Drosophila melanogaster: one gene and its partners. Changing the gene in region 1 together with any one later gene gives a genetic interaction. Each region holds a gene or a part of one and is shown on either strand. Other genes may lie near its edges.

The links.
Region 2: of bond (region 1) and Pex2, changing one suppresses a phenotype caused by changing the other (phenotypic suppression), as found in Drosophila melanogaster (one study listed by BioGRID).
Region 3: of bond (region 1) and Pex10, changing one suppresses a phenotype caused by changing the other (phenotypic suppression), as found in Drosophila melanogaster (one study listed by BioGRID).

The regions. Positions count from the first base shown.
Region 1 is NT_033777.3:22,548,425-22,557,158, forward strand, and holds bond (james bond), read left to right. Parts: upstream 1-2,255; 5' UTR 2,256-2,454; intron 2,455-3,329; exon of another isoform or gene 3,330-3,431; intron 3,432-3,673; exon of another isoform or gene 3,674-3,852; intron 3,853-4,201; exon of another isoform or gene 4,202-4,263; intron 4,264-5,250; exon of another isoform or gene 5,251-5,471; intron 5,472-6,112; exon of another isoform or gene 6,113-6,209; 5' UTR 6,210-6,275; coding exon 6,276-6,333; intron 6,334-6,398; coding exon 6,399-6,589; intron 6,590-6,979; coding exon 6,980-7,699; 3' UTR 7,700-8,070; downstream 8,071-8,734.
Region 2 is NT_037436.4:8,336,917-8,340,986, forward strand, and holds Pex2 (peroxin 2), read left to right. Parts: upstream 1-2,134; 5' UTR 2,135-2,238; coding exon 2,239-2,274; intron 2,275-2,340; coding exon 2,341-2,418; intron 2,419-2,473; coding exon 2,474-2,905; intron 2,906-2,959; coding exon 2,960-3,259; 3' UTR 3,260-3,360; downstream 3,361-4,070. Other genes in the region: Cpr66Cb (cuticular protein 66Cb), read left to right, coding at 673-912, 996-1,232.
Region 3 is NT_037436.4:1,556,074-1,560,720, reverse strand, and holds Pex10 (peroxin 10), read right to left. Parts: upstream 2,494-4,647; 5' UTR 2,160-2,493; intron 2,065-2,159; 5' UTR 1,890-2,064; coding exon 1,617-1,889; intron 1,563-1,616; coding exon 936-1,562; 3' UTR 858-935; downstream 1-857. Other genes in the region: CG7879 (uncharacterized protein), read left to right, coding at 1-538; CG12099 (uncharacterized protein), read left to right, coding at 2,839-2,932, 3,007-4,449, 4,504-4,647.

The DNA of each region.
Region 1 (8,734 bases):
TTTAAATTAATTAATTAAAGTAATACAAGAATGTCTAATTATAGCTTTTTTAGAAATAGCATTACGGTGTTATAAAAACCCACAAATGTAGGCAAATAACAATTCTAATAATAAAGAAACTTAATTGGGAAGACAAAATGGTGTTTGGCTAGTGAGGAAATATCACCAGCCTTGCAGGCCCAATAAAGATTCACTTGTTTGGCAAGCTCTTAATAGCGCAATTTAACTACGTTTTAATAGCGCCCTTAGAATATTTATTGCACATAAAGGCCAATATGTTTAGTCAAGAGTCATTCATCTTTGTTAAACAAATTCAATTTCAAACATAAGACTATAGAACTTGCTTTGCTCAGGGGCAGCCCATCAAGATGATATACCCTATTGACCAATCCAGGCCAATATCATCCATCAGCTCTCGGCGTTCTGACCAGCTACGTTAGAAACTCGGCCAAGGAGCAGATTTCGCACAGACCCCGACTAGCGGTATTAATCGACTGAATTAATACATTTAGTAGCGCTGAAGTTCAGGGTCATAATCACAAAAGAGAAGCGCCGATAATGCGAGCTGTTTCTGTTTGAATGACGAGCGCGCGACAAAAAATGCTAAACGGCCAATGTGCTTCAAATGGAAATGGAAATGCCAAAGACCCGGAAGGGTGGCGACCAACACAGCTGCAGTGCATCCAACTCGGCAAACATTTGCATATTTGACCGGGCACTTAGCACGTGGGTGGAGTACATGGATCACCATGGGTCACACAAATCACCTGGGAATCTGGGAGACTGGTGAGAGTAAGTGCGTGAAATTGACCCATTCATTGGACGGACAATCGCTTCCCATCGATCTGGAAATGTGTTAACTGCGCCCGTAAACCCTATTTGCGTAGTTAAATTAAGTGCCAGGTTATGGAGTTGGGGCGTGTCATCCCCCACATTGGCACATATATATATATATATATAAGCACTTATAACTATGCTGCCAATTGAGTTCGTCTCAATGACGTGACGGCGATAATAAATCAATTGTCTAGCGGTTTATTTAAAGCCAATTTTGTAGCTGGAAATTGGCACACAGAAAGAAAAGTGGTGTCAGGAACTTATATATAAAATGTTATTATTTTGGTTATTTTTAAAGGGTCTAATGGAACTATTTTTATTATAAAAATGTAGATAATTTTTTAAGCATTTCTTTATAGAGATGTTTTTAGAAAAATGTTTTTTTAAATGGGCACACAGAAAGAAAAGTGGTGTCAGGAACTTACATATATAAAATATTATCCATATCTATTTTGTTAATTTTAAAGGGTCTAATGGAACTATTTTTATTACAAAAATGTAGTTAATTTTTTAAGCATTTCTTTATAGAGATGTTTTTTAGAAATAACACAGTATCAAACGAAAGTGGCGAGGATGACGCAAAATCCAATTAACCTGAGTTATCACTGAAAGGTCAAAGCACATAATAAAAATATAAACTCCATCGTGCGGTCTAAAAATCGCGACACATTATATATAAATATAAAGTGCATGTATATATTTTTTTAGAAATTCATTCCAAACACTTTCAGTGGCATACAAACAGATTTTCATAAAATTGTTAACAATTTATGATGATGAACTAGAGTCTCTCATAGTATGTTCTATGTATGTTCGTTAAATTCTAAACATATACCATAATATATATATGTATATGTATACATGTATACTAATATTGAAGTATATTTCGTTTTTACTGTGTACTTTTTCGCTTCCCTCTTTGCTTTCGTTTTCTTTTTGCCGCTCTTTTTGCGATAGGATCTGCATGTTTTTTTGGCCAACCGGGAAAGGGTTAATAAACTTGTTCAAAATAAACCAAGAAAAAGCATGGCTTATCTGCTGCTGTTAGCAGTTTTGCTTTCTTTTCTCGCCACAGACATTCATTTTAATGGCTTCAAACTTGACCTTAGCACCAGAAAGCACCAAAAAATCAGTAAAGATAAAACCAAAACTAAATGTTTCTAAAGCAAAAATAAAATAAAAAAAAAAAAAAAGAAACCGCCGCGCAACTTAAATTGGCCATTAACGCAACTTCGACTTGCATCGTATCGAACCCGGCCGAGTGACGCAAAAATCAACTAAAAAAAAAGGTTAAGTATACGCCGTGCGGGCCGTGCCGCGACTGCGCTGCCAGCGTCGCCAGCGACGGCGGCGTCAAATGTTGGCCGGCCTGCGAAGCGCGTTCATTTTGTTTATTTATACAGCCGAGCGGGTAGAACTCCATATTAGTGTCTTCTTGGCGTTTGCCGCAGTCGAGTCCGAGTCCGAGTCCGAATCCGAATTCGAGTTTCGAGTCCGTAAACTGTAACTGAATCTTCAGGCTACGGTCGTAGTGCGATTGTGTGTGTGTGCGCGCCAGTGCGTGTGTGTGTTAGCCAAGTTCCAAGCAGGGAATCGAGTCAGCCGAAAAACCAACAGGTACGGAAGTGATATGAATTCATTTTTTGGGGCAACCTAAAGGCGTGATGAAAGTGTTGCATAAATTGGAGAGCAGTTCTTGGGCAAAAAAAAAAAAAAAACAAAAAAAAAACTGAGAGCTCGATTGGCAGTGGCTGGTCTAAGCCTGGCTAACTTTGCTGCCACCACCGCCATTGGTCCGTCTGATATTTCTCGTCGACCTTAACCCAATGCATCGTACATAGATTAAATGCTGAAAACTCGCTTGAGGAGCTGCAATTTTGCCAGTCAGCCAAGGCCAAGACTCTGGCTGCAGCATTGAGGCGGCCAAATCTAAACGATTTGAACTTGTAATCGATTGCGATTCAATTTGCAGCTGCACTAGCCAAATGGCCTTCAATAGCACCAAGCAAATGGCCGCCTGACACTATGGCCAAACTGAACACTCCCCCTCACGAAGATGACCACATTTCATGGTTAGGCAAACAGATTAGAAGTCGCTGTTCCCACGAAGAGACCACGGCCCATATCCGTTACAGTTTCTAACGACAACAACACAGACAGACGCAGAGGGTTTCGTTTGGGCCAGGAAAAAAATCCAATTAACGCCGCAAATATTTACAGAGTAATTAAAGGTTGTCAGTCGGCCCAAAAAGTCACCAGCAACAAACTCTGGCTTAAGACGCACAGGGGAAAAAGGTTTTTAAGTCATCTTTCGCGTTTCCTAAATAATATTAATATATTTTATTTTAACGAAAATTGAACTAAACAGTTTTGTTGATAGCCAAACAGATTTTTTGAACTATTTATATATACTTTCATATATGTCTCAAAAAGCAATTAGCTAGGGAATTTGCTAAGCTTAGTTTTAATCGCATTTTAAAACATTTTCTTACCGTGTGGGTTATAGTTATGGATGTATCTATGTGGCGTTTCTGCGGTTTGCCAACTGCTGGCTGACTCGACGCGTTTTTGTGCCTCCTCTGTAAATGCCTCGGCTGGCAAAAAAAAAAAAATTAATTTACAGCGCTAAGCAAGCATGAAACCATAAAACATGTGCACTTGACACAGGCAAAACTAAATGATTAACCTGTTGCACTCTGGAGCCACGTCGGGAAAATAACAATGTGGAAAAAAAAATTAAACAATTTTCAGGGTGCTCGACCCGTTTACATACCCTACCCGATCTACTCAGTACTCATGATTCTATGGATCCATTCGATTGCATCGCAACACCTACCACATTTCCAAACTTCAATGGGCTAATGTATTCGGGAATTTCACATGGCTAATTGTTGTCATTCGGCGAACACTCAAGTGCGTGTGAAAATCGTGCTGTCTGTAATCTATAGAAAAACATCCGCCCCATTGGACTGCAATTTACACAGCATATATGTAGCTATATCATTTTGAGGAGTTCTGCAACAGAAAGGAAAATAATAAAAAAATATTTAAACCAAGACTAGTTTACTATCATAAATTGCATGTACTTGGGATTTTCCAAACACAAATCATATTTTTTTTTTCTGGTGTACACACGTGGCGACATAACACACGAAATACCTGAGCTTCTAGGCGCAAAGTTGCAAAAAAAAAGAAACATGCAAAACTTGCTGATTTAAACTGGTGGCACATTAACAACGTTTAAATCGCAGCAGCAGATACAGATACATTTACATATAGACATATGCGCAGATGAAAGACTAATGCCCCATCGGCCTTCATTAGATTTCGAATTAGTGGCGAATTAAGTTGTTTTTATCCGAACCTTTTATTTTTAGAGGCAAGTTCGTAAAAATTAACGCTTTATTCGGTGCTTTTCCGCACCGTAACAGACGTATGGATATTTAGATACTATTCGCATTAGTCACAACATTTGAAATTATGGCAAAGCCGTGTTCGAGTGCTGGGTAAACCCAATTCCCAGTTCTCAGTCCACAGTTCCGAGTGCCAAGTATCCAAATATCGAGTGTTCTGATACTGCTGACAAGGCAGCACCTCTTAAAGGGTACAAAAATTTGCAAAAGCGAAAATCAATTATGCATACAATACACATAATTTTAATGCGTGCGCGGCAGAATGTGGTTGCTGGCTGCTTCTGCGTTTATTTTTAATTTATTTAAGGCGGAAGACCTGCTCAGCTCACAGAATCTGTGCTCCACTGCCGTCGTATGGGATACTGAAGTAATGGCTATAGATGTGGCCTTTGGTTAACCGAAAGTGTGGCACCAGAAGGTGCTGGGGTTACCCAAAAAAGGGAAGCTGCCATCCAAAAGGGGCGTAGCCAGAAGGGGGATCAACGTCAGCAGCTGCGAAGGCAGCCAGCGGAACACTCGCCTGACTTTCAATTGGCGTCACATTTTTGGTCGACTGCGATCATGATCATGATGATGATGATGATGATGTAGTTGATGCGGCAGCCAGCTCACTTTTCCTGTCTCCAGTGTCAGTCTATATGATTGCCAAGTGTCTTGCATACGAATGGGTCTGGGAATGGCAATACCTATATCTATATAGCTATATGGCTATATGGCTATATGTCTATATGGCTATATGGCTAAGGGAAGGCGAAGTCAATTGCGAACGGCTTAACCCTGACAGAGACCTAGTCTCAGTCGCTGTCGATCGGCGGTAGTCAAAACATATCAATCATACGCCGAGTGTGTCCAATTAGCGACTGTGGCAGGTGTTTGCTCTGTTCTTCGGCCAGGCCAGGCCAGACTCTCCAAATCAAATTACACGCCATGTGATCATCCATGAAGAGTGCTACTGCAATCAGAAGGGAACAAAACTCCAGTCATCCCAGAATCATTATAGAGCAGGCCGTGCCTTTAAAATTCAAAGTACAAGCACATAAATTCGATCAAGTTTGACAACTAGTTTTATACCGTTCCGATTTGTGACATTCCCAACTGGACATCTTCTAGCATACCAGCTAATTATACAAACCAATCTATATACATTTTACCACACATATATATATATATATATAAATTCGAGAATCTTCGCCCGAACGAGTTCCGGTTGGAGTTGGCTAGGTCAGTGGTTAATGAGGAGAACACCTCGAAATGTTACATAAGAAACGAGTTCTGGCTGCCGTGTAATTGAATATATTCGATGGGTCATTTTCAATCAAACTCTTTTTCCGTGTGCAATTTAAATAACAATGTGAGGCAAGAACACGAGCCCCAGTGGCTAGAACATAAACTCCGAGTGCCGTGCCGATTTTATCTGAACAGTAAAGCTGAAAAAGACAATCGCAGATGTTCAGGGAGATGCCAAGATGAATGCCAAAGATAGTATTAACTTTAGTGCCAAGGCGAGAAATTCAAATGAAGCCTTGAGTCCGGATTTTTTTCAGGTTTCTACTGTCACTGACTTGCGGTCTTGGCTTCGGCCAAGAATCTTAGATCTTTAAGACATTCTCGTTCGATTCTATTGAATCGAGAGATTCACATATGTCTAGTTATATCGTTGAGCTGCACCACCCTTATCTTTGCTGTCGTCATTCATCATTCGATTGGGGATAACTTAATAAGCGATTTCTTCGCGCCTTTCATTAATAAATCTTTGGCGTGCCTCGGCACAAATTCCAATGCAAATCACGATCCTCGGCGAGCCGAGCAGAAACAAACGTGCTGAGCCTCTCCAAGCGATCGCGATTTAGAATACCTATTTTCATTCAATATTTCGGCAACGCGGCGTACGGACGTCGGGCTCTGAATTCTCGATTTTTGGGCGAAAATTTCTAAAGCTCGTAAGCCTCTTTCTTTCAGTTGCCAATTGACAATTGCCAGTTGCAGAAACAGTAACAGTAACGAAAACAGAAACAGAAAGCCAATATGACGAACTACATAAAGATTGTCGAGGAGCGAATCTCCGGCCTCTCAAAAGGAGTGGGTAAGTTGAATCGAAATAGGTATGCATATATATCAAATGAAACTAATGATTCGAATACCATTTAGATGAGACGGTGGACAGCTGGTTCCTAATGAGCTCACCTATGCCCGTGGTGGCCGTGGTTCTCGTCTATCTGGCGTTTGTTCTGAAAATCGGACCCGAGTACATGAAGAATCGCAAGCCCATGGACCTCAAGCGCATCATGGTGTTCTATAATGCCTTTCAGGTCTTGTACTCCATTTGGATGTGCCGCACGGTGAGTCCATAAAACGGAGCGTCATAATTATTCAGCTTGTTTCGCGATCTCGATTTATGTATTATTCATTTTTAATAAGAAAAGCAGCGTCAAGTGCTTGTCGAACATACAAAGTTGCGACCTACGTTATATTGTCATTAAATATATTAAGCTAAACCAATTTAAACCAATTGTGCAGAGAATTCGTTTATTTGAAGACTCTATTTGTGAATTTTTATTTCACATACTATTATACAATTCAATTGCAAATCGATGTCGCGCTTTAATGAATGAACAAATTAACTGCACTTGAATAAGAAATTTAAATAAAATAGCGTTTTTAAGCAGCAAATTAAAAATAATAAAATATATGAGGATTAATTTCCCCTTTTCTTTTTTTTTTTTTTGCAGTCCATCCAAGAGAGCAATGTGATGGCGTCGATCTTCTCGAAGAAGTGCGAGATTAACCGCACCAGGGAGCAGAATCTGACCCTCTATTCCGGTGCCTGGTTCTACTTTTTCTCGAAGATCATCGATCTGCTGGACACGACGTTCTTTGTGCTGCGCAAGAAGGACAACCAGGTGTCCTTCCTACACGTGTACCATCACACCATCACGGTGCTCTTCTCCTGGGGCTACCTGAAGTACGCTCCCGGCGAGCAGGGCGTGATCATTGGCATTCTCAACTCGGGCGTGCACATTATCATGTACTTCTACTACATGGTGGCCGCAATGGGACCCCAGTACCAGAAGTACCTGTGGTGGAAGAAGTACATGACCAGCATCCAGCTGATCCAGTTCGTCCTCATCCTGGGCTACATGCTGACCGTGGGCGCCAAGGGCTGCAACATGCCCAAGACACTGACCTTCTTCTTCGTGGGCAACACGGTCATCTTCCTTTACCTGTTCGGCAATTTCTATCGCAAGACCTACAAGAAGGCCAAGTCCGTGGATGGAGGCAGTCGCACCACCGGCAGTAGTTTGGCTCAATCCGCTCTGCGTGCCGCCGGCGGTATGGGTTGCATGCCGCAGACCATGAACGCCGGTAAGCATCTGCTCCAGAATGGCCAGGTCGGAAAGGCGTACATCGATCTGAACAACAACAGCGTGAAGCCCATGAAGCTGGAATGATCGGCGATGCCGAAAATGGTGTCGTTGGGATTTCAGTTAGCAATTATGTTTTTTAGAGCGGGGCTTAGTTCGTAACTCTTACCTTTACCTTTACCATTACCAACTATCAGTAGTCTGTAGTCTGCGGAGAATAACTTGTATAATGTTTATATGCCGGGCAGGCGGATGATGATTCAAATCCAAAAAGTAGCTAGGACCCTAAGTGCGTGAATGTGGCCATGTTTGTGTGACTGAGTATGTGTTAATGTTTTTCTAGCTGAGCGTGTATGAGAGCTAGTGTGATAGAGCTTATTAATGAAATGCAGCCGTAAATCGTTTCGCAAAACAAGAAAAATTCAATAAAACTTTAATTTTGTATATTTAATAAAACCAAAAAAGTCTGTGTCTGTTCTTTGCCGGTGAAATTCGGGTTCAGGTTTTGGGTTTTGGGGGTTTTTGGACTTCTATTTCTGCGCGAAGCTCTTGGGTTAGGTAATCAAACCGGATCCCATTGGATCCTATTATTTATGACAACGGCATGGCCACGCGCTCCATCCACACGCAAAGAAAAATTATGCAGATCTGCAAACCATTAAACGTGATTAATATCTGTCGATTGAGTGAAGATATACTACCTCTTTTTGTGCCAACTGTCTAATCAGAGAACAGATTAGAAATATCATAAAACAAAAGCACAAATTTTTGCATCCCTAAAAAACGATTCTTTAAATAAACCATATTTTTATGAGTGTAGAACCTAGTACGCGTGCTGCGATGATTATCCAACATTGTGTGTGCCCCGTCCATTTTGTTGGCCAGGCTTAGACACCCTGGCGACGATTGGAGAATGTCTTTGCCAAATTAGAATTTCTAATCAATTTTTTCTTAACTCGCCTTGACTCACACACATGCCTCCAGCATCACATGAAGCACCTTTATTTATGCAGATTTCGAGTATAAAACTCTTGTTGTTTTGTACACATTCGAGTCAAAGTTCAAGGGCCTGGAAAAGAGTTTGATTTGTATCTATGGGTAGGCGTGTTATTTTAAATGAGC
Region 2 (4,070 bases), on another chromosome or scaffold:
ATCATTAAAAGGATATTCATATTAAAAATGTGATTTTTAATTTCAATATGCAATGATTTTTAATGGAAACAAATTTTATTAAACATCGGAACAATAGGATACTGTACTATTTACTATACTAAAGAAAAATTATAAATGTAGAGAATGACAGACTAGGAGCTCAAAGAAAGGCGCTTTTAGTAAAATATTCGTCAGGACCACTAAATTTCAGTTTAAAAATCATCCTGACAAAATTTCACTAAATCAATTTAGCTATTTTGTGCTAATTAAAAAACCAATTTAAAGACAACCTCAAAAACCACAGTTCAAACAAAAGCACCTATTAAAGTAAATCGTTTTAGGATTTAGGAAAAAACTCACACTTTTGCTTTAGTTAAATAAACCTCCCGCTTAGTTAACCAACAAATTTGCAGTCAGCCAGTAAACCACAAAGTAACCACTAAAAGTATATCCAAACAAAAGCGTCAGTCGACCACAGCAAACACTTGATTATGAATTCATTAAGACCAGCAAGAGGAAAAAGTCCGAAATTGCAAAGCAGCCATAACATGGATAGCTACTGTCTGTGGCCAGCAAGTCCTCCAACGCTAATTGCAGCACTTGCAACTACACACACTCCGTCAACGGAAACAATTAGTTGCTAATTATGCACCCACCTATCTGATCTTGCAGTATCTGATCTTCGCCTCGGCTCTGTGCCTGAGCCTCGCCTATCCGTTGGAGCACCAGTACTACGAGGAGAGCCATGGATATGAGCACCTGGCCCATCACGAACCGGAGCCCATCCATGAGTATGGCCACCATCAAATCGAACGCATCTCACTGGGCGAGGAGCACGGTCACCTCGAACACGCTGAGCCCCACTACGAGACCCACGAGTCTCACGGACATGATGAACATGTGGATTACTATGTGAGTATTGTTTCTGAAATTCAAAATTACACTATAAACTATAATCAAAGAGATGATGATGATGAAATGTTGTTTCTTAACAGGCTCCTCCCAAATATGCTTTCAAGTACGGCGTGAATGACTTCCACACCGGAGATGTGAAGTCGCAGCACGAGACCCGCGATGGTGACACCGTCAAGGGACAGTACTCCCTGGTGGAGCCCGATGGTTCCATCCGCACCGTGGACTACACCGCCGACAAGCACAATGGATTCAACGCCGTGGTCCACAAGACCGCTCCAGTGCATCATCATGAGGAGCTGCACGAACACCACTACTAAGCTAGTACACACTGCGCACTAGAGTTAGCCAAATTGCTCATCAGCCGGAAGTGGGAGGAGGATTATGAGGACTAGGAGGAGGGACAAGCATATCCACATCGGTCGACCATGGAATCAGCTTCATATCTCGTAATTAGGACATCAGCACACACCCAGGCCAAGGATCACATCCTGTCCATGGCCATTTCATTAACATTTTGTATATTGTATTTTATTCTGTGATAGCGAATAACTTCTATGTGTATCTTCCGCTTTCAACTGATCCTTAGTCACTACCTGCTCAGACGAATTTACCGATCACTACTCGACTGTTTGCCTTAATCTTTAATCTATAATCTATAATCTGTAAACTGTAATGTATACTTATGTCTTCTCGTAAAACAGAGATCGAACGAAGAAATTGTAAATTGTGTAATAAAGTGTGAATTATGTACTTTTTATAAAATCAAAACTCACCCGACCACTGGCCATAATTTTTTCAGCCGGGGCCAATCATTGAACTTGCACTCCTCAAACAAATGACCAAATGTCTCAGCTGACCAACTGGTTTATGCGTTTCCAGACGTAAACGGCAATGGGCAAGATTTCCACAAATTACCAGACATCGTTAGACACATTTTCCGGATCCCAAACGAGTTCTTCAGTTCATTGTGGTTTCTTGTATTTGTTTTCATTGAAATTGCATAAGCCTTAATTGAAATGTTGACGGAAAATGCTTCCTAAATGGTTAAAAGACTTGGAGTTTCTTCGAAATGTCGATGTAATTGATATATAAGCTGATTTCAATTAGCAATAAATAAAAAATCAAACCGCATTGCTAGTATGGCTAGTTTAAATTTGGCGGGGTTTGTCGATATAGTTTACCAGCACTGTTTAAAAATGTCGATAATGACTAGTAAACTTTCTTTACAATTGCCATCTCTAATTGATAAGAAAGGGCAGAGTACATATAAATAAGAAATATATCAATGGTCAGCTAACCAAAGGCAAGAATATAAACAAAATAATGGAGAAAAACAAATATGTACCACGTGTAAATCAGGTGAGCTAATTATGGTGAGCTATTCATGAATTAAAACCACTAAAATTATACATGTTTACCTTTTAGATAGATGCCATCTATTTGAACAAGGACATTGCCCGCCTGATACGCGATAATCTGCTGGAGAACTTGCAAGCCATCTCAGTGAGTATATGAACACTACCATAATTGGCCAATATATACTGTATATCTCTCACAGCCCGTTTTGTTCATCAAAATCCAACCGGAGCTCGACTTGATCATTCAATCCGCAATTTGGTTTGGTTCCGTCGGCAAGCGGTGCTCCACTTTTGGCCAACAGCTACTGGTTCTGGCTTACGATGCCGAAAAGCTGACCGTTTCCAGGCTGGTGCTCCATTTCATCCTGACCGTCTTGCCGGGCTACGTGAAGAGCTGGGAGGAGCGACGCTTAACAAGGCGCGTAGAATGGTTTAGCGAGGCGATTATGTGGGTGGAGAACAGTGCCCTGATACTGAACATCCTCAATTACTTTCGGTTCCTGAAGACAGGACGAAAACCCACTTTGGTGGACTACTTATTGGGATTGGACTACATTAGTCTGCGGAACAATCAAAGGAGAGACATTGGCTACAAGTACCTAACGAGGGAGCTGCTGTGGGGAGGATTTATGGTGCGTGTTAGTTAGTTTGCTTATTATACATATATATTACAGTGTATATTATAGGAAATCCTCGGACTGGTGTTGCCCATCATCAATTTCCGTAAGCTACAAAGAGTGCTAAAATCATGGACATTTTCCGGACGACGGTTAGAGGATAGAGATGGTCCGGCTTTCCTGGCGCCGCAGATGACACTAAGCACCACCTGCACATTCTGTGGAGAGCGACCCACATTGCCCCACCACATGGGCTGTGGTCATATTTATTGCTATTACTGCCTTAATGCAAATGTTTTAACGGATGCCAGTTTCTGCTGCCCCAACTGCGGTTCTGCGTGTCCTGAGTCGGGAATCCAAAGTGTCTGATAAATAGGAATATAGTGCATGTGATGGTTTTATATGTCTTTTATTAGTTTTAAGCGAAAAGTGGGCTGTAAGTAATAAACAAATCATTTTCATATTCCGCCAAATGTGTGTACTTTTAGTGTTAGCAAGCAGAGTAGTGTTGGTAGTCGTACAAAAACAGCTATTATTTACTTGCCCAGTGCCAGGAGTCGTGCGATATAAACTACATAAAAAGTGTATAATTAAACGAAAATAAAAAGCAAAAACTGTTTAGGGCGAAGTATAAAGCCTTGCGGATCCAAAGTTAACTGCTGATTTTCCAAGAACAACAGTTAAGATCAAAAAGTAAGTTCTAAATCCCTATCTTTGGTAAATAAAAAGCGCGCGAAAATATGGGAACAGCTGTTGCATTCTCAACCAGCGTTGCCAAATGTGGCAAATAAATTAAGCAATTATATGAACTCAACTGTTAAGTAGCTCTAACCGTATTTAAGCCACTAGATTAGATAGATAGACTAAGAACATGATTAATATTCATATTTTTTGGGTGGCAAAGCCACACCCAATTTGTTTTGCAATTTCGCGAATCAGCTGCCTGCGGCGATGTGGCAACGCCATTACTTTGTTATTATCTCATTTTTCTGCTGCGCATTTCGTCTTTGTCCGAATTTTTTTGAAGAAAACAATACAATTAATCGCTTCACCAAGAACACGACAAGTAGTTGGAAACCCACGAATTAAACAATTTTTTTGGAGTTGCGTAATTGCATAAAAATAAATAAAGGCATAACCAGCGAAAATAAGAAAACGAGAGCAAACAATTGAAAACAGA
Region 3 (4,647 bases), on another chromosome or scaffold:
GAATGACGGTGCAGGTGGAAATAAAGCCAGTGCGCAGCCGTCTCGTCGTCGAGGACCCAGCCGCTTTGATAAGCCGCAGGAACAGCCATCGCAACAGCAGGATCGACCGCTATCCCTGGAAAGGGAGGACAACAGCAGCACTAGCTCGAACGCACCCGTTAAACAGCACTTCAATCCCTTCGCTCGACCAGATCCTCCTCTGAGCAGCAGCTCCCTCTCGCCCAGCAATCAGGGTCAAGTCAAGCCAACCTCTCCGGTGCCCGTTCCCACATCCATAATCCCGGACAAGTTCAATCGGCCGGGATGCGTAGTGGCTATGCGCAATGTCCCTTTCAAGGCGGAGCTAAAGGACATCATGCGCTTCTTTAGCGACTACAAGCTTAGCCCGGATGACATTATAAGGCGTTTCAATGATGAAGGCAAACCCACCGGCGACACTCGCGTCGCTTTCGAGTCCCCTTCGGAGGCAAGGTCTGCCTTCGAATCGCGCCGCAAGAAGCAGATATTTAACCGCACTGTCTACCTGGATATCATCTAGGCAATGAGCTTAGAGCCCAAATAATTGTATAATGTAAATAGATAATGTTAAGCCAGACACCAAAAATATTATATATATAAGCAGCATGTACATAAACTTGTTTAAATAAATCGAATAAACCGTGTAAGAAATGCGTTTAAGCATACAAAACCCAGCGAGCGACTGGGAAACTATCATTAACATCAACGATGAAGTATCATTATATTTTGTTTCTGTGCATCCTTTCTTTAGTCTTTTTAAGACTTCACGTAATTTAAGTTGAAGATTTATACCATTTTTTTGACATTACAAATTGTGAATAAATAAATAAAACTTGTTTCATTTATATGAATAAAATATATTACATAGACACAAAAATACTTCCTATAACATGAATATAAAAAGTCTTAATCCAATCTTAGGCATAGTTTTGCAGTAATATCACTTGGGACTTTTTCAGCGACTCCCGGCACAAGGGGCACTCATCCCGCTCCTCCAGCCACTCGAGCAGGCAGCTCCAGCAAAAGATGTGGCCGCATGGAGTCAAACTGCTGTCAGAACGTGGCTCCAGGCAAAGGATGCACTGTGGGGTGTTTGGATCTACGTCCTTTGTACTCGAAGATCTTTGCAGGAAATTCTTTCCAGCCTGCTTTATTGATTCTAGCTGCTGGCGCTTGTGCTCTCTCCAGGCATCCCATCCACTAATGGCCAAGGAAACGCTGACCTGCAGGAAAGTGATTACGCCCAGTATCTTGTAGCCGTACAGCGAGAATTCCGGCTGCAGCCAGTGACGGATTAGTACGTAGTTGATGCCCGTGGTGCGCTTGGACAGCTGGTACTTGCTGGCGTCCAAGTAGAATAGAGACTTGTGCAGGGCCTTTACGTAGCTGGGAGATTGCCTGAGCCTCTGAATAATCTTCTTTAGCTGCGGCTTGATCTCGGTTCGAATCTCGTCATTGTTGGCCACGTAGGTGTCAAGTTTTTGCATCAATCGTTGGAACAGGGAGTCGCCACCAAACTCCAGGACAATGGCAATCAGTTGTAACTAAAAGATGCGCGACGTTTACAAATGTTTTCTTTTCGAGTATTCTTTACTTACCAATCTGCTGGGAATCTGCTTATAGTTCCCGTCCACCTGTATTATCCCCGTGTACTCTTCGCCGAGGGTCTGAAGGTTATTGGCCGAGGCGAATCCGTGGTAACTGAGCTCCGCCAGAAGTCGGCACATCTGGTTGTACTTTATCCAGTTCCGTGGACCGGTGAGGCGCAAGACATCGGACAAGTCTTCGGCCAGCTCGTTGGTGTACCGTGCATCCTTCTGCACGGATCTCACGATCTCCGGCTGCCGGGCGCGGGCGTTCCGAAAGTCCATGTCGTTGGGGGTTACTGCAATGTTGATTCTAACATATCTTATTCAAAGGCCGATCAAAGTGCGGCTCAGATAACAAAATCAGCTGTTATACTTTTGCCTAATTGAGATGACACTTTCTAGGAACATCGGTAACGCAACTTGCAACAGCACATTTTACACAACACAGCTCCGCTCACTTCAAACGTATTATACGAAGTATTAAATTAAAAAAAGTATTTCCTTTAATATTATTTAAATATCCAATGTGACATTATAATTATATATAATTACCTTGTGCGATAGTTTTCTCTGACGAATCACGACCATACCAAAGCACACCATCAGCTCTCTGCGAGGCACTTTCCAGCACTTACAGTCAGCCATTTTCTATCGGGCATCACGGATGCTTTTTTTCCCTGACCAAAGGATATTTGGTTTTTCCATCAAAATTTGTTGATTTCGAGACGTCAAATCGAAACCCCGCGATAGCAGAGACCGTGTGTCGGCAGTGTGTGTGCAATTGGCAAGTGGTAATTGTCGGAAAGATTCGGTTTTGGACCCGCAAAGAGCAGCTAGCGCAGACGTCACACCTTTTTAGGCACCAATACGATTACAGCTACTAATACTACGACCCACAGACTAATAGAACAACAAAACAAGTGCTAGAAAAAGAGAAGAAGAATCGAGCCGCAAGTCCAAGTACTTAAAAAAGTACTTTCGCCTCGAATTTAACTGCACTTACTCGCAAAAGCCGCATTTGATTTTTTGGAAATATTACGCAAGTACTATTTCTAGTCGTACCCGTTGGATAATCATGGCTCAGTAAACATGAATCCGCAACGAGAATACTTTGCTCAGCGCACTCCGTGTGGAGACCTAGGCAAGACGCAATTAGCCGCCCACTGGCAGCTGTCCAGCACCCATACTATTACTATTCCCCAAGACAAGTGCACCTCCAGTATCCACAACGATGGACAGCAACAACAGCAGCAACAGCAAGAAGCAGCCTCAATCCTCTCATCATGGCAAGTCCTCGTCTGCTGAATCGCAAAGGAAGTCCAGTGGTGGGTGCTCCATTCTCCTGATATTTTTATATCCCGAAAAGGTTTTAATATTGGTGCAACCTTCTCCTCCGCAGAGTTACATACCAACAGCAACAAGCAGCGACACAGCCGTCGAAGGAATCAGGTTCCCACACCGCGCAACGATCAGCAACAACAGCCACAGCAGCCAGCAAAGCTACGTCCCAATGTGGACAAGCGTCCGAAGGCTCGCGGGTTTGGAGGCGGTTACGATTTCCCTTCACCCCGTGGCCAGGACGGGGCTTCAGGCAGCTCCCGACTAGCCTACTCCGCCACCGGCTACTCACGTAGCGGTGACTTTGACCATGAACTGAACTCTGTGTATACACAGGGCAGCAAGAAGCAGAATCTGAACCATCTGCTTAACTTCCACTGCGTGCCCAGGGAACTGGAGCGAGGACATCACCATCAGGCCCAACAGCACCACGGCCTGAGTGGCCGAAAGCAGCGCTACAACAAGGAGCAGTTCCTGCAGGCCAACTTTCAGTTCGTCATTAGATCGGGTGCAAAGGCTCAGGTTAATGGCTCGCCGGATGCACTCATCGATTGGAGCTACATCGAGCAGATCAACATACAGACCACTGAGGAGTTGCAGTGCCCCATCTGCCTGTACCCGCCTGTGGCTGCCAAGCTCACCAGATGCGGACACGCCTACTGTTGGCCCTGCTTGCTGCACTACCTCTCGCTGAGCGACAAGACCTGGCGCAAGTGTCCTATCTGCTATGACGCCATCCACGCGGGAGATCTGAAGAGCTGCACCATCGAACAGCTGAGGGATTTGCAAGTGGGCGAGAAGATTACCTTCCAGTTGATGCGGCGTCGCAAGGGCTCCATGTACATTGAAAATCATGTTGCAGGATTGGGCGAAACAATTGAACGTTTCCCCTTTGTGTCCGCTGGTGAAGAGGCTAAACGCTACTCAAAGTTTCTAATAGCCAAGCGGATGGATGTGGCCGCCATCATCGAGAGGGAGCGTAACGAACTGCTAGCCGAATCGGATGTCTCCTGTCCCGAGGATGTGTTCATCCAGCAAGCGCTGGTGATGCTTCAGGAGCGTGTTGAGAAGTTGGGTGTCGAGAAACCTGATCCGAAAGAGGATGAAGAGGAGACAGCACCTGTACTTTGCCTAGAAACCGAGACCAAGATTGATATTGAGAAGTCAGACGATGCCTCCATCTCGTCGGGAGAAGCATCCAGCAGCCTTAGCTACTCGAGCAACCATAATAAATACTATTATTTCTACCAGTCAAACGACGGACAGAATATTTACTTGCATCCCTTGAACGTGAAGATGCTTCAGGCTTGCTACGGCACCTTGGACTTGGGTCCGCTACTCATCGAAGCCCAAATCGTGCAGATGGAACAGCACTCTATGGATGAGGAGCATCGACGCAAGTTCACTTGTCTTGGCCACTTGCCTTTGACTTGTCAGTTTTCGGTTGTGGAAGTCGAATTGCAGCCGCCAGTGGTCACTGGAGGAATACTCAAGCTCTTTAAGGGTAAGTCCACTAGGTCCATGTACAGCATTATGCTTATATGTATTCCTTCCGCAGAGGACATTCTTCATCGTAAGAAGGAACGACAGCGTCGGGATCGCGAGGAGCGCAAGCGAGAGCAGCACATCAACGAGATAAATGACCGCCAGATGGGCAAACTTATTGCCAGTGCAGCTAACCTTGACCTAAGCTCCTCCCATG